Linked DNA regions of Elephas maximus indicus. The main gene of each other region encodes a partner of the protein of the gene in region 2 in a complex. Links are inferred from orthologs where the notes say so. Each region holds a gene or a part of one and is shown on either strand. Other genes may lie near its edges. The genes, in order: CXADR and JAML.

Evidence for each region.
Region 1: the proteins of JAML (region 2) and CXADR are in contact, whole or in part, in a crystal structure (PDB 3MJ7), measured with the Mus musculus proteins. The link is inferred for Elephas maximus indicus from reciprocal best matches to the Homo sapiens genes JAML and CXADR. Residues at the interface, in NP_001005421.3 of Mus musculus: Arg57, Asp59, Ala69, Tyr72, Phe75, Tyr77, Leu80, Val82, Glu120, Arg122, Ser127, Met128, Val129, Met130, Lys131; in NP_001020363.1 of Mus musculus: Thr23, Gly51, Pro52, Asp54, Glu56, Leu58, Ser60, Gln65, Ile66, Val67, Asp68, Gln69, Val70, Leu73, Tyr83, Lys121, Lys123, Lys124, Ala125, Pro126, Gly127, Val128, Asn130.

Annotation. Positions count from the first base shown.
Region 1 is NC_064836.1:44,146,791-44,156,311, forward strand, and holds the start of CXADR (coxsackievirus and adenovirus receptor), read right to left. Parts: upstream 4,223-9,521; 5' UTR 4,089-4,222; coding exon 4,046-4,088; intron 1-4,045. UniProt on the Homo sapiens protein: Component of the epithelial apical junction complex that may function as a homophilic cell adhesion molecule and is essential for tight junction integrity.
Region 2 is NC_064835.1:10,661,090-10,670,662, reverse strand, and holds the start of JAML (junctional adhesion molecule-like), read left to right. Parts: upstream 1-4,988; 5' UTR 4,989-5,095; intron 5,096-9,573. Other genes in the region: MPZL3 (myelin protein zero-like protein 3), read left to right, coding at 1,088-1,114. UniProt on the Homo sapiens protein: Transmembrane protein of the plasma membrane of leukocytes that control their migration and activation through interaction with CXADR, a plasma membrane receptor found on adjacent epithelial and endothelial cells.

The DNA.
Region 1 (9,521 bases), on a different chromosome or scaffold from region 2:
CTACTGTAAGGACAATCTTTCTAGGACGAGAAGGGAGAAAAAGGGAAATGGAATTGTATTATACACACACACACAGCCTTCTCTTCACTTATCGATACGGTTAGGTTCCAAAGACCAGATCATCATGCAAAATCGGCATTATGTGACAATGTAGCACGACAACATATCACAAAATGAAGAATGTCTACTTCATTACTTAACTGCCAAATGACATCATCATGACAGAATTGCCAAATTATATCACCATGTAACTGCCAAACCACTGGGAATCACGGCCCAGCCAAGGTGACACATAACCTTAACCATCACAGCCAGTGTTACTCTTGCCCTGTGCCTGTGTTTGTTACTGCCAAACATATGTTATTAACGCACAAAATAGCTGAAGAGTAGATTTTTTTACTATTGTTGTAAATGTGAAACGTCACATAACAACATAGTCGATAAGTGAGGTGTATGTATACATCTGTGTGTGCATAACTGCGTGTACACACACACACATGCCTAGCAGAAAATGGGTTAAAAATAGTTATACAACAAACACTGGCTGAACCCTTGCTGTCAGCCGTGCCCCAGGAGCTGACACTGAGACTGTAACAGCGAACAATACAGACAATGCTCTTGCCCTTTGATCTAGTGCAAAGAGATACATCTGGTAACAGAAGCAGATTCTACAACAAAGGAGTCAGCGTAGGCAGGCTAGCCTTGGAGGCAACTTTTGTTCAGATGGTGGGATGATGGCAGGAATATAAATATTAGAGGAAAGCACACAGAGGAGATAAAGTTCGTACCTAATAACCTTAATTTTTTTTTTAACTTAAAGGAAAAGATTTCAGGTAAAGTGATAAAATATCTTTCACTCCCCACTACAACTCTGAGATAGCATGGGTCTCATTCTTAATACATAAAGCAACTGAGGCAACAGAAGAGGACAGAGGCCCGCCCATCGTCAAACATGGTTGAGGGACCAGAATCACTGACCAGTCCTTTTTCAGTTCCACTCACATTGACAGCATGAAAACAGAAGCACCCCAAACTTTTGTGGGTACACGGGTCAGTTTACAACCACGGTCTCAGCCCTGAAGAATACTAGTGCTCTTGTAGTGCCTGAAAGAATTTAACTAAGATCAGGAAATTAAAGGGCTCATAATAAAAGCCCTCAGTGCTTGGCACAAAGTCAAGCCAACAACAGATTCTTAATAAATGACAGACGACCAATGGTAGACATTAGGACGTCGATTAGAGGCAATCAAAGAGTGAAGTATCTGGCTGCTTGAAAGGCAGAATAGCACAGATAAGGGCACAGATTCAGGAGCAATTTCGTAATCCTAGCAAGCTAAGTCATTTACTCGCTCTGTGCCTGTTTTTCCCACTTGTACAACAAGGGTAATTACGGTTGCTAGGAAGGTCGGTACGAGTAGGAATCGACTTGATGGCCCTGGGTTTTTTTAGGAAGATTAAGCGAGTATATGTAAAACTCTTAGAACAGCACCTGGCATTTAATAAGTGCTTAATTAAGGGATTAATTTTAGTACTATTGCTACTACTACCATGTGCCCTGGTGGCACAGTGGTTAAGTGCCCAGCTGTTTACCAGAAGGTCAGCAGTTCAAACCCACCAGCTGCTCCACAGGAGAAAAAATGTGGCAGTCAACTTCCGTAAAGATTTACAACCTTGGAAATCCCATGATGCAGTTCTACGCTGTCCTGTAGGGTCATTATACGTTGAAATCGACTCTGGCGGCAATGGTTTGGCTGGGGGCTGCTACTACCGTTTTACTGCTGCCACTACTGTAAACAGCAGTGGTAGTAATAGAGAACTGCTACTAGTAGTAAGACTTGGCACTAGGTAAGCAATAATAATGCACGAAAAGGAATCCCATCAACATCCAAAACACAACACTCTTTACTACCTACACAGAGACAGGTCTAAAGGAGAATCTATCACAGACAGCACTGCAATTTCTAATACGTAAGCCTCCACTTTGATTTACCAATGTAGGAGACATATCATGTTAATACTGAACTTGAGTTCTTAGCAACACATTTCTAAAATGGTCAGAAATAGGTGAAGTACTCAAAGCCAGGTATCAATTCCAGTTTCTGAGTTGATTTCTAAGACGGACAATTAGAATAAAAAGTTGTCTTGTTTAGCTAACCATGATGTCCTCTAAGGTGATGTTCGCTGTACCCTGGTGTACACACTATGAGCGCAACAACTTTATATGTATCAAAATAGCCTTGGCTGAGAATGTGTCCATCAAAGTGAGGCATTCCAGAAGAAATGAAATACTATAATCTGGATAGCTGGTGGCGCAGTGATTAAGAGCTACAGCTGCTGGTCAAAGGGTCGGTAGTTCAAATCCACCAGGCATGCCTTGGAAACCCTGTGGAGCAATTCTACTCTGTCCTGTAGGGTCGCTATGAGTCGGAATCAACTCCATAGCAATGGGTTTGGTTTGGATAGCCGGGGTGGGGGGGATGTCCTCTATGTTCTTACACTTCTCTGATTTAGATGTGGTCTAAAATGCTTTTTCTCCTCTAAGAGAACATACACATTGCCAACTTCAGCTTTTTCAGTCTTGACAAAACAAAGGTAGGAACGTACACATGCCATGTAAACTGGTGACGTAACCTTTAATCTTTTCAGGAAGCTTTACTTTGGAAATTTAAACCGAGTCTAAATTACATGTAAAGGTGAAGGCAGTGCTACAAACTTTGATGGGAGATTGCTGGGTGCTGTCAAGTTGATTTCAACTCATAGTGATCCCATGTGATAGAGCAGAATTGCCCCATAGGGTTTTCATGGGTGTAATCTTTACGGGAGCACATCACCAGGTCTTGCTCTCAAGGAGCCTCTGGGTGGGTTCGAACCGATGACATGTGGGTTGGCAGCCAAGCACTGAATCACTCGGACACCAGGGCTCCTTGATCAAAGATTTGACTTGTTAATTGACTGCTGATCACATGAGTAATGCTCACAGCTGTGGTATCCAACAATGGCATTAACATTTCAACAGGAAGCAGAGAGCCATCCCAACAGAAAAGAGCCACCGGATCATGCTTTACAGAGCACTATTATCCTTCCGGAGGCTACAAAGTGTGCCTCCTATGGCCCCACCTATGGATTTTTTCTCTTTCGAGTATATAAAAGGCGACGTATGCTTAGCCTGACAAACAAGATTCGCTGGTTGAAACACTGATAGAGAAACTGATCAGGTTCTTAAGTGTCAAAATGATTATGTTTTCTAATGGCCAGCGCATTTTTTAAATACCCTTTTCCCCCCTCCCAGAGTAAGGCACAGACCAAAAACGTACTTGGTGAAGGAATTACCCCGTACAAGCCACCCCATCCCGTTTTATCTTCAAAACGAACCAAATGATTTCAAACTCACAACCGAGGTTACTAAATTTCCCTTTGCTCTGGACTGCAGAAATCAATACTGCGTTTTTGCAGAAACCTATTTTGATTTCCCACGGTCTACCTCGTGATTCACCCATCCGTCTCTTGCCGGGGCTTGCCTCTTGTACGAGATCAAGAAAGCCTAGGATAGCACTCCTTCAGCGCCTCCTTCCTAGACGTACCTTGGACGATCCGCGGCACTGAAAAGCGCGGTGGCTACTGAATAATGGCGTTTGTAATTCAGCCTCTATGCCTGGACTGCTCGACACCTGAAAACCCGCCGCCCGAGGCTTTTGAAATCGGGTAATCCTGGACGAACGTGATCCGGAGGCTAACAACGGAAAGGGCAGGAGCGTACGAGGCACAGCCCGCACCCGCGGCAAACACGGTCTGGGAGCCGTCGGGGGCACCGCGCGCCGCGCCCACCCGCGAACCCGAGCTCCGCTAGCGCGCCCGGCCCGCCCGGCCGCCGCACCCTCCTGGCTCGCGCGCCCAGCCCCAAACCACGGCGAGCAGTGCAGCCCGCACCCCACCACCGCACGGCGCCCCCGAACCGCGCCAGCCCCCTCCCCCACGCCCATTGTTCCCGGGCGGCCGCGGGCTGGGCCGGCGGCGCGGTGCCGGGAGCCGCCTCGCCTGCACGTACCCGCGAATCCGCACAGGAGCACGAAGCTCAGCAGAAGCGCCATGGTGGCGGCCCGGCCGTGGGCGGCGGTGGCAGGTATGCGGCTGTCGCCCGGGGTCCAGGTCTCCCCGCGCCTCGCGCGTTCCCGACTGGTTCGCGGCGGCGGCGCGGCACCTCTGCACCCCCGCCCTCGCTCCGCAGGTGAAGTCGCGTCACTTCCGGCTGCGGCTCGGCCCTACGGCTCCCGGTCCGCCCGCCGCGTGGGGTTGCCATGGCAACCGGGAGCTGCGCGGGGGCTGCCCGCGGGGACTCTCGGGGCAGCGAACTGTCGCGCCCGCCGCAGCGCAGCGCTTCGGGGTGCCGGGGTGGCGCCCGCCTCGAGCCTGAGCCGGGGTGCTGCCTCCACGCCTCCGACTAAACGTGGGGGTTTTGTGCCCGGGAGCCGGGTCAGGCTCTCTCCCCAGGCAACTGAAACTGCGGTCGCGCGCTCGCCCCGGCCGCGGCGCGGGATTATCCTCACCGCCTCCCTCCGACCCTGAAGGGCGGCTAATGCCGTCGGCGCTGCAGCCCACCCCAGCCCGGCGCTCCGGCGCCCACCCCGCCCGGCCCTCGGGGACGCAGGGGATGAGGGACCACCGCCCCATCTCCGCGCTTCCTGCAGGGCTGGGCGCTCACGCCTGAGTCTAGGCGACGCGGGCTGGGCACACACCCCCACTTGCTCGCTGCCTTTGAGAAGACTTCTCAACTTCCAGCAATGACGAACCGCCAAACTGCGACTATGGATTTGGAACATACCCAGTTTTTTGTTTTTTCCTTGCATTTAAAGGATATTCTATTTAAGGAGACCTGGTACTGCAGCGCTAACCGAAAGGTTGGTGGTTCGAACCCACCCGGGGGCTTCGCGAGCGAAAGACCTGGCAATCTGCTTCCCTTAAAGATTACTGCCTAGAAAACCCTACAGGGCAATCCTACTCGGTCATATGGGGTTGCTATGAGTCAAAATCGACTCCAGGGCACCCAACCACTAACGCTGAAATTCTTGGATAAGGATGAGTGAGTTTTTAAAATGGGGCTAAGTAGGGGTGGTTAAAGGCCTGGGGGTGGGAATGCGGGGATTTAGATGTCTTGAGTGTCCCCGTCAACGCTTCACTGTCGCTTTTGTCTCCTGGTGTCCTCAGTACTTGCTTGTGTGTCATTTTGCTGCCCCTTCTGGGGTTGCTCCTCCCAGATAAGGTTTATTTATAACTGCAGAGATATTTGGGAGTTGTGAACAGTTAGTTCCATATCAGGAGTGAGATAGAGGAGAACCGTGTGGTGCAGTGGCGAAGAGCTTGGACTCCACAGTGGGGCAATAACTGGGCAACTTATTTAGAAATAGCACCTACCTCAGGGGATTGCTATGAAAATTACACAAGATAATGCACAAAAAATGTTTGCCATAGAGTGCCTGGCACATAGTAAATACTCAGTAAGTGGCAGCTGCTAATAAAGATAATATTGAAAAATTCTTGTTTACTGCAGCAGAAAAGAGAAAGGGCAAAGGAAGTAAATCTGTTATCATGAAGACCAAAACTGTCCAACTTCAATTTAGCCTGGTGGTTTGCACCCCTAGAGGCACATTAAAATCATGTGGAGAACTTAAAAATACCACTGTTACAGCTCCACTCCAGTGATTCTGATTTAACTTGTCTTAAGTAGAATCTTGGCATATCCAAGGAGTATAGACATGAGACAGGATGAGTAACTGCTTCAGACTTCCTATTCATTGAGGAAACAAGAATTCTACTGGATATAATTGTAGATACATAATATTTGGAATTTACATTTTTAATCACTACATCATACTTTATGGAATTAAGTAGAAGAGATTAAGTATTGAAGTTGCTCTTACCTATTTCAAACTGTTTCATGAGAACCTTTCTTAGTATTAACTGCTTCATAGTAGCACACACTTATTATAAAGTTGTACACTTAATGCCTCCTCCAGGTAGAAACCAAATCCACCCTTCAGGGTTCATTTCAACCAGTTACTACAGTAAATCTATAGAGATTGCCCAAAAGACTTTTCGTCTTAATCCCTTTCCTCCTTTTTTTTTTTTTTTTTTTAGTAATCCTTACCTCTGCCTCCTCCTGTGGTAGTCATTTGCATACAAAAAAAAATTTTTTTTTTTTTTAAGTCACTTCCCTTACTCTGAGCATCCTTACAAGGCTGAAAAGGCCCATCATTCATCTTTGTTGCTCATGGAAGCACAGCACATAGTAGGCTCTCAAGTATTGAGTTGAATGTTCATTTTCTGTATCGTGTGTTAATAAAAGTTGTTTAAATATCCATACAATAAATCACAAATATTACATCTTCAATTTTTAGAATGGACTTTTAAAAAAAATTTTACAAGCTGAATGTTTTATATACTTCTTTGAATTACTGATCTCAAAGCTTTAAAAATGTATCATCTCTGAGATTTAATGAACTATGAAAAGAGCAGCTTACCTTATTTAGGGAGCTAATGTTCTTTAAACACATATATGAAGTCACTTTTTGATGTTGCTTTGTGACAGTCTCATTAATTCCAGAACATACAATTATACATTGTTGGGTATCCTCAAACCAAGCTAACAAATAGCACACAACCATTAAATGAATTGTTCTGTCTTAGTAAAGCTCTATGAACTCCTCATGGTATAGCCTCTAAACCAGCGGAAAGGTGATTCTGGTCCGTCAAGAAGGTGGTAATTATAGAGACATAAATAACTCAGTGGTTAATAAAGCATTCGCCTTTACAAAGATCTCTCAGCAGTAATGATCTTTCGACACACCCACAGATGATTAAAATCCTACTATCATATTCGGGGGTTGATTTACCTTAAGAATGAAAGGCTTTTCACTTCTACTAGCTCCGAATATGAAGGTATGTGAAATACGGAACTTCCTATCATACATGACACCACTGAGTTTTATAATTTCTAGAAAGTGATAATGCTTTTTTTAAGAAACAACAGTTTTCTTGCTTGTGAACTGTATGTTGTTCAGAACACTGGTTTTTTTAGATTAATATCAGCAAAAAACTTATCATCTTGTTCTAATGAGAGAAAGTCATCTATTTACCCTTAAGCAATGCATTATAAATATAAGCATTTTTAGTTTTATGTACATAAACACTAATACTCTAATATTCATAAATCAGCCCTTAGCCAGTGACCTAGCAATGTTGGATCTTTTTCTTGCTTTTTTTTTTTTAGGTTCCTGATAATGCAAATTCCAAAATAAATACACAAAAGTGATAAGTTTATACAGACCAAAATTGTAGGCATGTAAAGATACCTTTATAAAACTCACAAATGAAAAGGCTTTTTCCCCCCTTATGTAGCTAAAGGAGGCCTGGTTAAGAGCTTGGCTGTTTGTTCTATTAACCAAAAGATGAGCAGTTGAAATTCACCAGCTGCTTCTTGGAAACCCTATGGAGCAGTTCTGCTCTGTCCTAGAGAGATGGTTGCTATGAGTCGGAATCAAGTCGATGGCAACGGGTTTGATTTTGGTTTTAAAGATCCCCTGCATTAAGCTGGAGTTTCTACTTTTTCTCTTTGATTGTAGTAACTTTTCTTTACCCCTCCAAAAAAACCAAAAACCAGTTGCCATCGAATCGATTTCAACTCATGGTGACCCCACATGCTTCAGAGAGCTGGCCTCCATAGGGTTTTCAGGGCTGTGACCTGATCTTTTGGGCGGGCTCAAACTGACAGCTTTTTGGTTAATAACCCTACACTAAACCATTTATGCTACGGAGGGGGCTCCCTCTTTGCTGCAGAATTCTTATTTTTATCCGTTATGTGAGGCATTCAGTGGGACTGCAGATGCATTTCCTTCTGGGAAATTTTCTTGAGTGAGTTAATCCACATACTGCATTTAGCATGGTGCCTGGAACCTAGTAAGTACTCAGATGATGTTATCTGTTATTATCATTATTGTTTCCTTGTTTACCATTCCCTTCTTGCATCTCAAACCACTTTTGAGATCACCTTCCTTGTTCCAGAATTATATCCTTTAGAAATTCCTTTACTGAGGATCTCTGGAAGGTATTTTTGTCTGTCTAAAAATACCTATTTTTAATTTGCCATCATTCTTTTTTTTTTAATATTTTACTGTGTTTTAGATGAAAGTTTACACAGCAAATTAGGTTCCCATGTAACAATTTTTATACAAATTATTCCATTACATTGGTTACATTTTTCACAGTGTGTCAACATTCTCACTATTTCTTTTCTGTTCTATTAATCTGGCCTCCCTGAAGGAGTCCCAGTGGTATAGTGGTTAAGGGCTTGGCTACTAACTGAAAAGTTGGCTGTTTGAACCCACCAGTTGCTTTGCTGGACAAAGATGTGGCAGTCTGCTTCCACAGAGATTAAAACCAAAAAGTTATTTCTAGGTAGTAGCTAGTGGATTTGAACTGCCAACCTTTGGTTAGCAGCCAAGCTCTTAACTACTGCACCACCAGGGCTCCTTTGCAAAGATTACAGCCTTGGAAACCCTGTGGGGCAGTTCTACTCTGTCCCAGAGGACTGATGACTGGTGTGGTGGTGATGAGCTTCCCTGACCCTCCTTAGCGTCTCATCTTTGTTTTAGGGTAAGTATTGACCATTTGGTTTCCTATAGTTGATTATTTAAGGGAGCATTGTACTCACAAGTGGAGCCCCGGTGGCGCAGTGATCAAGAGCTACAGCTACTAACCAAAACGTTGGCAGTTTGAATTTATCAGCTGCTCCTTGGAGACCCTCTGGGGCAGTTCTACTCTGCCCTATAGGGTCGCTGTGAGTCGGAATCAACAGCAACAGGTTTCGGCTTTTGGTACTCCTGAGTGATATGGTTTATTTTATAAGCCAATCTATTATTTAGATGAAAAATGATCACTGGGAGTGGCTTCGGTTCCAAGTTCAAAGGGTATTTTACAGTGATAGTCTTGGGGGTTCCTCTAGTCTCCAGCAGTAGAGTAAGTCTGGCCTTTTTTAGGAATTTGAGTTTCGTTCCACATTTTTCTCCCCTTCTATCTGAGACCTTCTTGCCGTCATTTTTGAAAGGTAGAGTTCTTGTATAGAATTCAGGGTAACCTGTCTTTTCTCTCAGTGCTTTCAAAATATTATTCCACTATATTCTAGCTTCCTTTGTTTCTCTAGTAAGTCAATCTAATAGTTCTTGTAGTTAATCTGGCTGCTTGTATGATCTCTTTGATTTTGTTATTCTACAATTTTATTACAATGGGATTAGGTTTTTTTTTTTTTAATCCTGCCTAGGATTTCTTGAACTTGAGAGAATTCCTATCTTCCCATAATTCTGCAAAAATCTCAGTATTCAAATTCTCATTGAATATTGCTTTCCTCACATTCTATTATTCTCTTCTGGAACTCCAATTCGATGTATGTTACACCTTCTTCTATCCTTTCATATTTTCAAAGTATTTGATACTCTGAGCTGAAATCTAGGTAAACATATCCATCTTTTTTG
Region 2 (9,573 bases):
GTACCGGACTCAGTCTGGTGGAGGCTGTGGTAGTTGTGGTCCACTAGTCCTTTGGACTAATCTTTCTCTTGTGTTTTTAGTTTTCTTCATTCCTCCTTGCTCCCAAAGGGGTGAGACCAGTGGAGTCTCTTAGATGGCCACTCACAAGATTTTAGGACCCTAGACACTACCTACCAAAGTAGAATGTAGAAGATTTTCTTTATAAACTATGTTATAACACATATTCAAGCCATAACACTGCAGAGTATTTTTTTATTGTGGTAAAAATATGTATAACATAATATTTGCCAATTCAACATTTTTTTACATGTACAATTTAGTACACCCATTATATTAATTATGCTGTGCAACCATCAGGAGTATCCATTGCCAAGTTTAACAGATACTCATTGCTTGCTAAACAATGACTCCCTCTTTTCCCCTCCCTCCTGCCCCTGGTAACCACTGGTAACCTTGGTTTCTATACATTTGCCTATTCTAGATATTTCTTATAAGTAGGATCATATAGTATTTGTCCTTTTGTGACTGACTTATTTCACTCAGCATGTTTTCAAGGTTCATCCATATCATAGCACGTATCAGAGCTTCATTTCTCTTTATGGTGGAGTAGTAGCCCATTGTATACATAGACCATACTTTGTTTATCCCTTCACCTGTTGATGGTCACTTTAGTTATTTCCACCTTTTTGCTGTTGTGAATAGTGCTGCAATGATGGACTTTTAATGAAACAATCCATTGATGGTTTTAAGAGTCAATGTGAACTGATTTATGTTTTCAAAGGATCACTCTGGCTTCTTTGTTGAGAACAGGTGGTAAGGGACCGTACAGAATTAGGGAAACCAATTGAGGGGCTTTAGCAAAGATCTACGTCAGAGAAGATAGTGGTGGTTTGGACTAGGGCGGTGGTGGTAGAGGTGGTGAGAAGTGATTGTATTCTGATTACATTTTGAAGGTAAAGTCAGAAGGATTTGCTGATGGGTTGCAAGGTCCGTTTGGGGGGGGATCCAAACGTGCCATCTTTGCCTAAATTCTGACTGTGTTATTATGTTTCCTATACGCATCACACCAACTGTTCTTTCCCCTCAGGATTCAGACTATGAAGACACATATTAATGCAAGTCTGCATGATTTAAGAAGAGTCACCCATCTGATAATAGAAAACAACTCGTTCCACCGGCCGCTAAAGCCTCTGGGATGAGTGGAGCTGGCCTGGGCAAGCAGTGATGGAGAATTCTGAAAGTCATCAGTAAAGACTTTAGGAACCATTTATTTATTGAAGAAATGTTCTTTTTGTATTTATAAACTGTTCAAAAACTCTCAGAAAAGACTCCTAACTACCCTTTTAATAAGTTATACTTTAATTGAAGAAGGAATTCTTTTCCCAAACAGAAAGATAATTTTGTTTTGCCTTTGCTCTTCGATGTATTACATGTGATCTTCTAATTATTTGAAGGAGAATTCTAAACATTTGCCACTGCTGGTGCCAAAATAGATTTTTTTTTTTTTTTTAAATGAAATGGAGCTTGTAGCTTCCTGATATGCTACCAGACAGAATGTTTGCTTGGGATAAGTATTCCTTGTTTTGTGCTCCGTGGACATTTTCAGCCATGACTTAGCATACAGCATAGACTCATTGGTTTAATGATCTCATCACCATTTGTCTTTGGGTAATCTGAATTGTATAACCTTAATTTCCTTAGAGTTGGTAGGATCAGGAGGCAATGGTTTGCTCTGACTGTGTTTGAAAATATTAAATGAAGTATCATCAATTTAGAATCAACGAAAGAAGTGGTGAGGTAGAGGAATTCCTTTCTTTTGTCTTGCTATGTGCCATTTGGGCCAAGGGGCCATTGTTATTTTCCTTTCTTACAGCTGACCGCTTTATGGTTTTCTTCTTGACTTTTTAGGTCAGAGGGAAAAAACAAAAACAGAAAACAAACCCTTCAAGAGGTTTTCAGTGAGGACTTAGAGACTGTCTTAGCAGTTATTTATAATTAAATCATCTTTTAGTATGTGCTATTTTTCAAAGCTTCTTTGATATCTAAAGTACACCAAATATGCGTACTGTGGTATTTACAGGCTGCCTTTGTTTAGAGATGAGGAAGTGAGGTTGTGCATAACCTATATTTCTTCCTTTTGTGCTTTCAGTACTTTATGACAGCTTCCTCCATTCTCTGATGGCAACTTTTTTTAAGTTTTAATTTGTGTGGGATTTTCTAGAAACCATTAAGAAATGTGTCTGAGCTGTCAGGAAGGATTGGCAGTGTATAGTTAAGTAGTCCTCTGTGATGTAGGGATAAAAATCCTCTGTGATAGAAGAGTTCACTTCTCAATTATGACAGACAACAATGACCCCCTCCTCCCATTTTTGTTTTTTTAAAAGGATGGCCCTTTTCCATTGTTCTCCACTAAGTAGTTCTGGAGCTTTCCATATAGCATTATGTACTGTATATGTTACCGAAAAATCACCTTTCTTTTATATTTTTTGCCAAGATCTATTTTTTTAAAATCTACTTTTGTTAGGTCTGTCTCATAGATTTGGCTTAGCCTCTTTTGTTAACCTAGTGCACAGATTATTAGACATTGGTATTTACCTCTGGTCACGGAAGGAAGTCAGAAGAGGCAAAGGCAGGGTTGGTATTGGCAGTTTACGTTTTCAGTGGTTAAACCTCACGGGTCTTTGGACCACTCGTGGTTGTCTAGGGCCTACCTGGTGAGACCATTTCCGACACCGCGACAGAGAGAGGAAAACAATTTGAGCAATGGGAACAAATAATTAGAGCTCCAGAAGATTTGAAGATAGATACCTGATTGTGAGGGGGCTTTCTGAGGGTCCTCTTTTCTCTAAGAAAGAGATGATGTTACAGGAATGCACTTAAAACTATACCGCATTAAATGAGGAACCAATTTTGGCTGGGTCTTCTTGTTGTGTCCTCACAGGCATGTTGTGGGGATTTTAATCCAGAAGGGTTTTTTTTTTTTTTAGGGTACATTTGTTGTTTTAGGTAAATGGTGCTGTGTGAATACTCACCCAGTCGTGTTATTTTATATCCGTCACCATGATTTGGACCAGTCCCTTCCTTTGTAAAGGACTGAACAATAGAGTCCTTCATGGCAAGGGAGTCAGTTGATAATTTAGTCTACTTCATGCGCCTGTAGTCACATCCCAGTCATGAGGCTGCTATCAACTACCTTCTCCATCCCTTATATCCTTATATTGAGGTCTGATTATAGCTTTTTTCTTCAAGGGAGCACAAAGCAGTGCTTGGATACCTACTTTGTTTAAGAATGGAAGGAAGATAAAGGTTTAGTTTTTTCTTTTTAACCTACTCTTTTAATATCTTCTAAGGTGCTATTCTCTCTCTTTCATTTCTTTTTCTTTTTGCTGCTTCCTGAGTTCTTGTCACACCATAATGAGACTAGCCTTTTCTAGAAAGGAAATTTAATTCTGAAAGCTTCATAAGGGGTTAAAAGTCTTTCAGAGGTTTTCTTTGGCTGCTGAAGTCTTTACTTGTGGTCACACTACCTTATGAGTTTTGTGTATTAAGCTCTTAAGTATGTTACAAAATGTGAACTTATAAAGTACTTTGTGTTTCCCATGTGACCTGTTAACCTCAGGCTACTTGGGGGACATCCCAGTTCCCTGCAGCCCCCAAAATGGGCACGGGTGCTTCAGGAGGGAAGGTCGCATGTCCCTGTTTTTGTTTTTTAATCTGGAGGCCAAATCCTGAATCTGAATGTTCTACTGCATCACTCAGTTACACTCCTAAAGGTGAGCTGCAAGAAGACCCTGAAGGGGTGGACCAAGACTATCATTTAACCGCACAACTCAAAGCTTTGCTGCAGAAGAGGCAGTTCCATCGTTTGACTCCTGTGTCAGATTGTTACTCCTGCATCTCAGCGAGTTTTCTGCTTTTGTCTTTTTGTAGGAGGGTATGCACTGTTGGACATGTGCATAGGCATTGTAACTCTTGGTGTCTTACTGTGTCATAACATTAATAAACTTCTTTGCACTTTCCAGCTGCATTTTGGTGTATATCTACATATAAGATGAAAGCTGTTGTGTGAAAGAGGGTGCTTGTAGTTTTCAATATCAAGCAATAAGTCATCTCTGAGTTGCTCTCAAGCAACAACCTACATAAATTCAGCCATGTGCTGGGGCCGGCTCACACTGCCCACAAGAGCTGACTGCTAAAATTTTAGGATTTTTATGAGCTTGTTTTTAAACTATTGATAGCTCAGAATTGGTTATGTTGGAAATATTTTCACTACAGAAAAAACTAAGGACCATCCAGCATAGACCTTGATAAGAGCAAGCATTGAACAGCTTTTCAAATGATGAATAAGACAAGTTCCATAAAATGAGTACGTACAGATTTTTAGATATAGAAGTCCTAATACCTAAGACAAGGTCAAAGGCATATATATCAAGCACACTTATTTTGAAGTGGTGACTTAAGACCAAGAGATAACTTGGAGTGAAGAAGCCTTGAGTTCTTATCTAGGATGCCCAAGTCATCCAAGGGCCCCCTGGGGGGATAAATTGCTGCCTATATTCTGGAAATGCTGGCATCACACTGCAGGAAATCTACATGTCGGGTGGAAAGTCGGAGGACTAAGCAGGCATATCTTTGGAAGCAGGGGCTGAGCGATTGTTTGGCTATATTGCAACCCTGTGTTGAGAGAAAAAATAAGGGAGACTATTGTATCTTGAACACAGAGCAAAATACTTGTATTAATCTTAAATTTGTTGTATTTTGTCTGTATAAGGCAGATCTCAGCAGATGCTTGCCTGATGCCATTCAAGATCCTACCCTCAGAGAGTTTGTAATCTAGAATGGGAGATGACACCTACAGAGATCTGTAATGTGAGGTTCACCTCAGAAGGTGGATTTATTACCTCTTTAGAATGAAAATATAAATACACATTGGGTAATGGGCCAGATGACTAAAATGGGAACCTCGATTTAGAGGTTCCTGTTTGCATCTCTGCAGCCACCTCAGAACGCACGCATTTGGTCTTGAGCCTGAACTGCTCTGCCGTCCGTGGGAGACTGCAGCTGCATTGCTTCTCCCAGGCGCTCTTCATCTTAGGTAAGCAATTTCCTCGTATTTTTTAGCAGTTGTTTGAACTTGTCTCACTCAGAAGAAGGCTGGTTCTGAAGTTGTTTATTGGAAATCCTTTAGGACTGTGAGACCACAATCACAGAACTCTCAGTCTTAGCAGAGGGACTGTCATGAGGTAGTCTAGTGGTTGTAGTTTTCTGTAGTGTAGAGAAATTTATGTGTAAGATCCTCAGTGAAATGAAGAGCAATGTTTACTTTTAATAAAAAAGCAAGTGATGATGATAAGGCTTTAGCTTTTAAGTTGCCTGTGACTTTAGGTAGAGCTGTGACTAGGTGTCCTTTAGCTTGTGACAGAACTCTTTCTTCATTGTTTCTCTTCTCCCAGTCCTAGACAAGCATATTTAATCTTAAGGATCCAGGAACTTAAACCTCCCAAGAGAACTAGACGACCGTCCATTACATTTTTTGCACCCTCTGCATACTCCTGACATTGGGAAAGACTGATGTGTGATGGTTTAGGTATAACCGATATTGAAGGAGGAACCAAGAGTGCTGACTTCCAAGGTCCCCTTCCAGTAGATGGTTGACTGATGTAACTTGGGTTACATTTAAGAAGCCCTGAGAACTACCAGTCTGTATGAAATGGTCTTGAAAGGAGTGGTTATGTGGACTCGTATACCTAACAACATCTGAGAGCCTGGAGGTTCACAGCAACAGGGAGCTGACTATGTGAGCAATGAAGACTTGGCAGTTGTCTGTTTGCTCAGTAGTTGGTTGTCCTTATGAGGGTGGATACTTTGACCAAGAGACTGAACCTCTTCCTAGTTTTTGTCTGTATAACTTTAGGATGAATAAATGATGATTTGAATAAGTTATATCCTATGACCCTGGGGAAGATTCAGTGTTTTTTTTTTTTTTTTATTGCGAACTTGTTACATTTGGGAGTTGTTTTCATGTCCTGTGAGGTAGTCTCACTGTCATGAGTCTTTTTTCTGAGGATTTTTTTTTCCTGGCATAATTATGTTAAGGATAACAATTTATGGTGGTGTAGTGGTTAAGAGCTACGGCTGCTAACCAAAAGGTCAGGAGTTTGAATCCACCAGGTACTCCTTGGAGACCCTATGGGGCAGTTCTACGGTGTCCTATAGGGTCGCTATGAGTCAGAATTGACTCAATGGCAATGGGTTTTATTCATAATAGGAAAGGGAATCCTGATAGTCACAACCCCCAAACCGCCCTCCCATCCCCAGTAGTTAGAGAAGATGTTTGGCAGGAGGTGTATTGTGAAAGAGGCATGAGCCCAGGTCAAAACGTTTGGCCAACATATGAGATAATTTACTGTAGGTAATTATCTGAAGAATATCTGCTGAGGAGTTAAATCAGTTCTGGAGAAAGGCGAAAGCCAGGGAGAAGGTGAGAATTTTAAATGGAGTCTGTTGTTACCAAGGTTCTTAAGGTGCTTCTGAAGGCTTTGATTGGACACTGGTGATGCAGAGGTGAGCCTACACGGGCACAGTTCTTGGTCTGAAGGAGCTTGTAGTCTTGCAGGTGCAGGTGGAGAGCAAGACTTTGATCAAGTGTGCACATGTATAAATAGATGAGTATAAATTGTGACAAATGCCATAAAGGAAATACAAATATTACTAAGGGATCTGACTTGGTCTAGATGGTTCAGGAAGGCTTCACCCAAGGAAATGACATTGAACTTGAGATCTGACAGATGAACAGGTGCTAACTGGGTAAAGGGGAGAGTGATGGTGATGGGAAGAACATTCCAGTCAGAGGAAGCAGATTACTTTTGTTTTGATAAATTCAGAGGAACTTTGCTCTAAAATATTTCCTTTCACAAATATGGAGAAGCAGTATAATATAGTAAGGACCCAGGCTCTGAAGCCAGACTGTCTGGGTTTGAAACCTGTCTTTGCCTCTTGTTATGTGTTCTCAGGCAAGTCTCTTCATCAATCTGTGCCTCAGTTGCCTCATGTGTAAAACCTCATAGCGTTGATGTGAGCATTAAACGAGTCGATGTGTAGTAGTGCTCTGACAGTGCCCGGCAGATGACCTCCCTGGGTTTATTGCATATCAACTACTGATTTCTAGTGTGCTGCCTATTAACCAGGAAGATGTTAAGGATGAGGTCCAGAGAGGTTGACTGATTCCCCAAAGATCAAAGGGTTAGCTAATGGAAGGTCCGACCTTGGAAGAAATTTTTATTCATTTATTTTTTAAAACTAATTCAATGCTTTCTCTACTAAAATCATTGCTTCTCCATTCATTCACACAGAGTAGTAATGGTGCATTTGGCTATTTAGGGCTGAAAATGGATGTTGTAGATTCATCAGATTGTTTGCACCTTTCTTCCAATGTTTGAAAATGATTTGGGTGTGGCCCTGAATGAATCAGGTTTGGTGACTAGATCGAGAGTCTTTATGGGGTTTCCTTTTAGAATAGAGTAGTGTAGGATGTCTCTAAGGTGATTTCGGTTTAATGGTCACACTGACAGCTCTCAGTATATCTGGCATGTGCCAGGCACTTTATCAGATGGTGTAGCACAAGAATAAGATACAAACATAAACAAGACATGCATGGTCCTGCCCTGGAGAATGTGCAGACTAGAAGAGGGTTTGGTGTCAGACACGTAAACCAATCATACCAGTTACCGGTTGCCCTCAAGTCAAACCTGATTCGTGATGACCACATGTGTGTCAGAGTAGAACTGTGCTCCATAGGATTTTAAGTGGCTGATTATTCGGAAGCAGAGTGCCGGGTCTTTCTTCCGAGGCACCTCTGGGTGGACTCAAACCTCCAATCTTTTAGTTAGCAGCCAAGTGTGTTAACCATTTGTATCATCCAGGGACTCCAAAAAATCCTCCCCTTCTGTGCAAATGGTACACTGCTGGGGGAATGTACAAGTGCTGCTTGTTGGGCAAGAGAGGAGCACAACCAACTCTCTGGGGAGGATTTATACAGAAGTTGACAGTGATCTGGATGTCCCAGATATGATAATTAAGATTATGACATGCTGTAAAAGAAGCCGTTTATAACCCTCACCCATGTGTATTGGGGTGAGGTCGGGGGATGGAGCAGGAGAAGGGCTATGGCTGTCTTGAGACAAATCCATGTTTTCATTAGATGTACTTATGTTTGGGGGAACTTAACATGACTCTTGGAATATCTGGGTCCAAAACCAAACCCGCTGCCGCCGAGTCAATTCCAACTCATAGCGACCCTATAGTGCCCCTATAGGACAGAGTAGAACTGCCCCATAGAGTTTCCAAGGAACACCTGGTAGATTCGAACTACCTACCTTTTGGTTAGCAGACGTAGCTCTTAACCACTACGCCACCAGGATTTCCATATCTGGATCAGCGTAATTAACATCCACAATTTTATAATGGGGCTCAAAAATTGAAACATAGCCTTTCCAGTTCATTCTCAGTCACCACGTGCCATTCAGGAAAAAGTACAAGCTCAGAACCTAAAATATCCCTTCTGAAGCTAGAAGTTCTGTTTTCTTTCTGACTAATAAGTTGTAAAAAATAGAAACTTATATGGTAATGCTTTCTATTTTTCAAATCACTTTCACATTATTACATTTGATCCTCGCATTATTGTTCCGTGTTATAGGTGAGGAAACTGAGGTTCAGCAAGGTCAACTGACTTGTATGAGTAAATGGGGTCTAGGGTTGGGTGTCCTTGACCCTGATTTTCCAGATGGAGGCATTTGTTGATTAGAGTATAGGCGAGGAATGTCTTATGTAGTCATGTTTTATAAATTAAAATGATCACCATTTTTTATTCTTAAAATGGATAAATGTGCCAGACTTCCCCTCAGATCTGAGTGGGGTATTGTGCTGTTAAGGCACTAGAAAAACCTCTCCCTCCAGCAGATTTCTGAGGTGGATTCTTCCAGTGTCAAGCTGGTCGGCGGCTGGATCATGGCTGAGACCAGGCACAGTTATAGGTAGGAACCTAAGACTGGTTGAACTGTACTCCTTGAAGTTAGGGTTCTCCTGTTTAGCTAAGCAAATTTGGGGGCATTGTGTTAAATGGTGAATCCTTTCCCAGGAGCTGGTGAAAATGCAGTGAAATTAACACCACAGAGATAATATAAACATTAAAAAAATACTTTTGCCCACGCACGGCCCAATTTTCATCCTACCCACACCTCCCTGCCTAAAAAAGGAAAAAAAACCTCGCCATAAACCTTTCATGTGGCTTCTTTGTGTCACGGAACTTGGTTAATATCTTATTTGAGCCTAAATTTTCCCCTTATTTGTGTTTCTCCTTTTCTACATGTCCTGAATATTCTTCATGTGTTTAAAAGCCGTGATTCTAATTTAGTGGGGAGATAGCTGAAAATTGCAGGCTGGGTATCCTGTAATTTTTTTTTTTATGTGAAACTCTCAGGTTTTGGAATGTCTAGGGTTGTCACCTCAAGGGCACCCTACAATCACTTGCTTTTTTTCTCTCGAAAAGCAACTTATCTCCCCTTTTAGCCAATC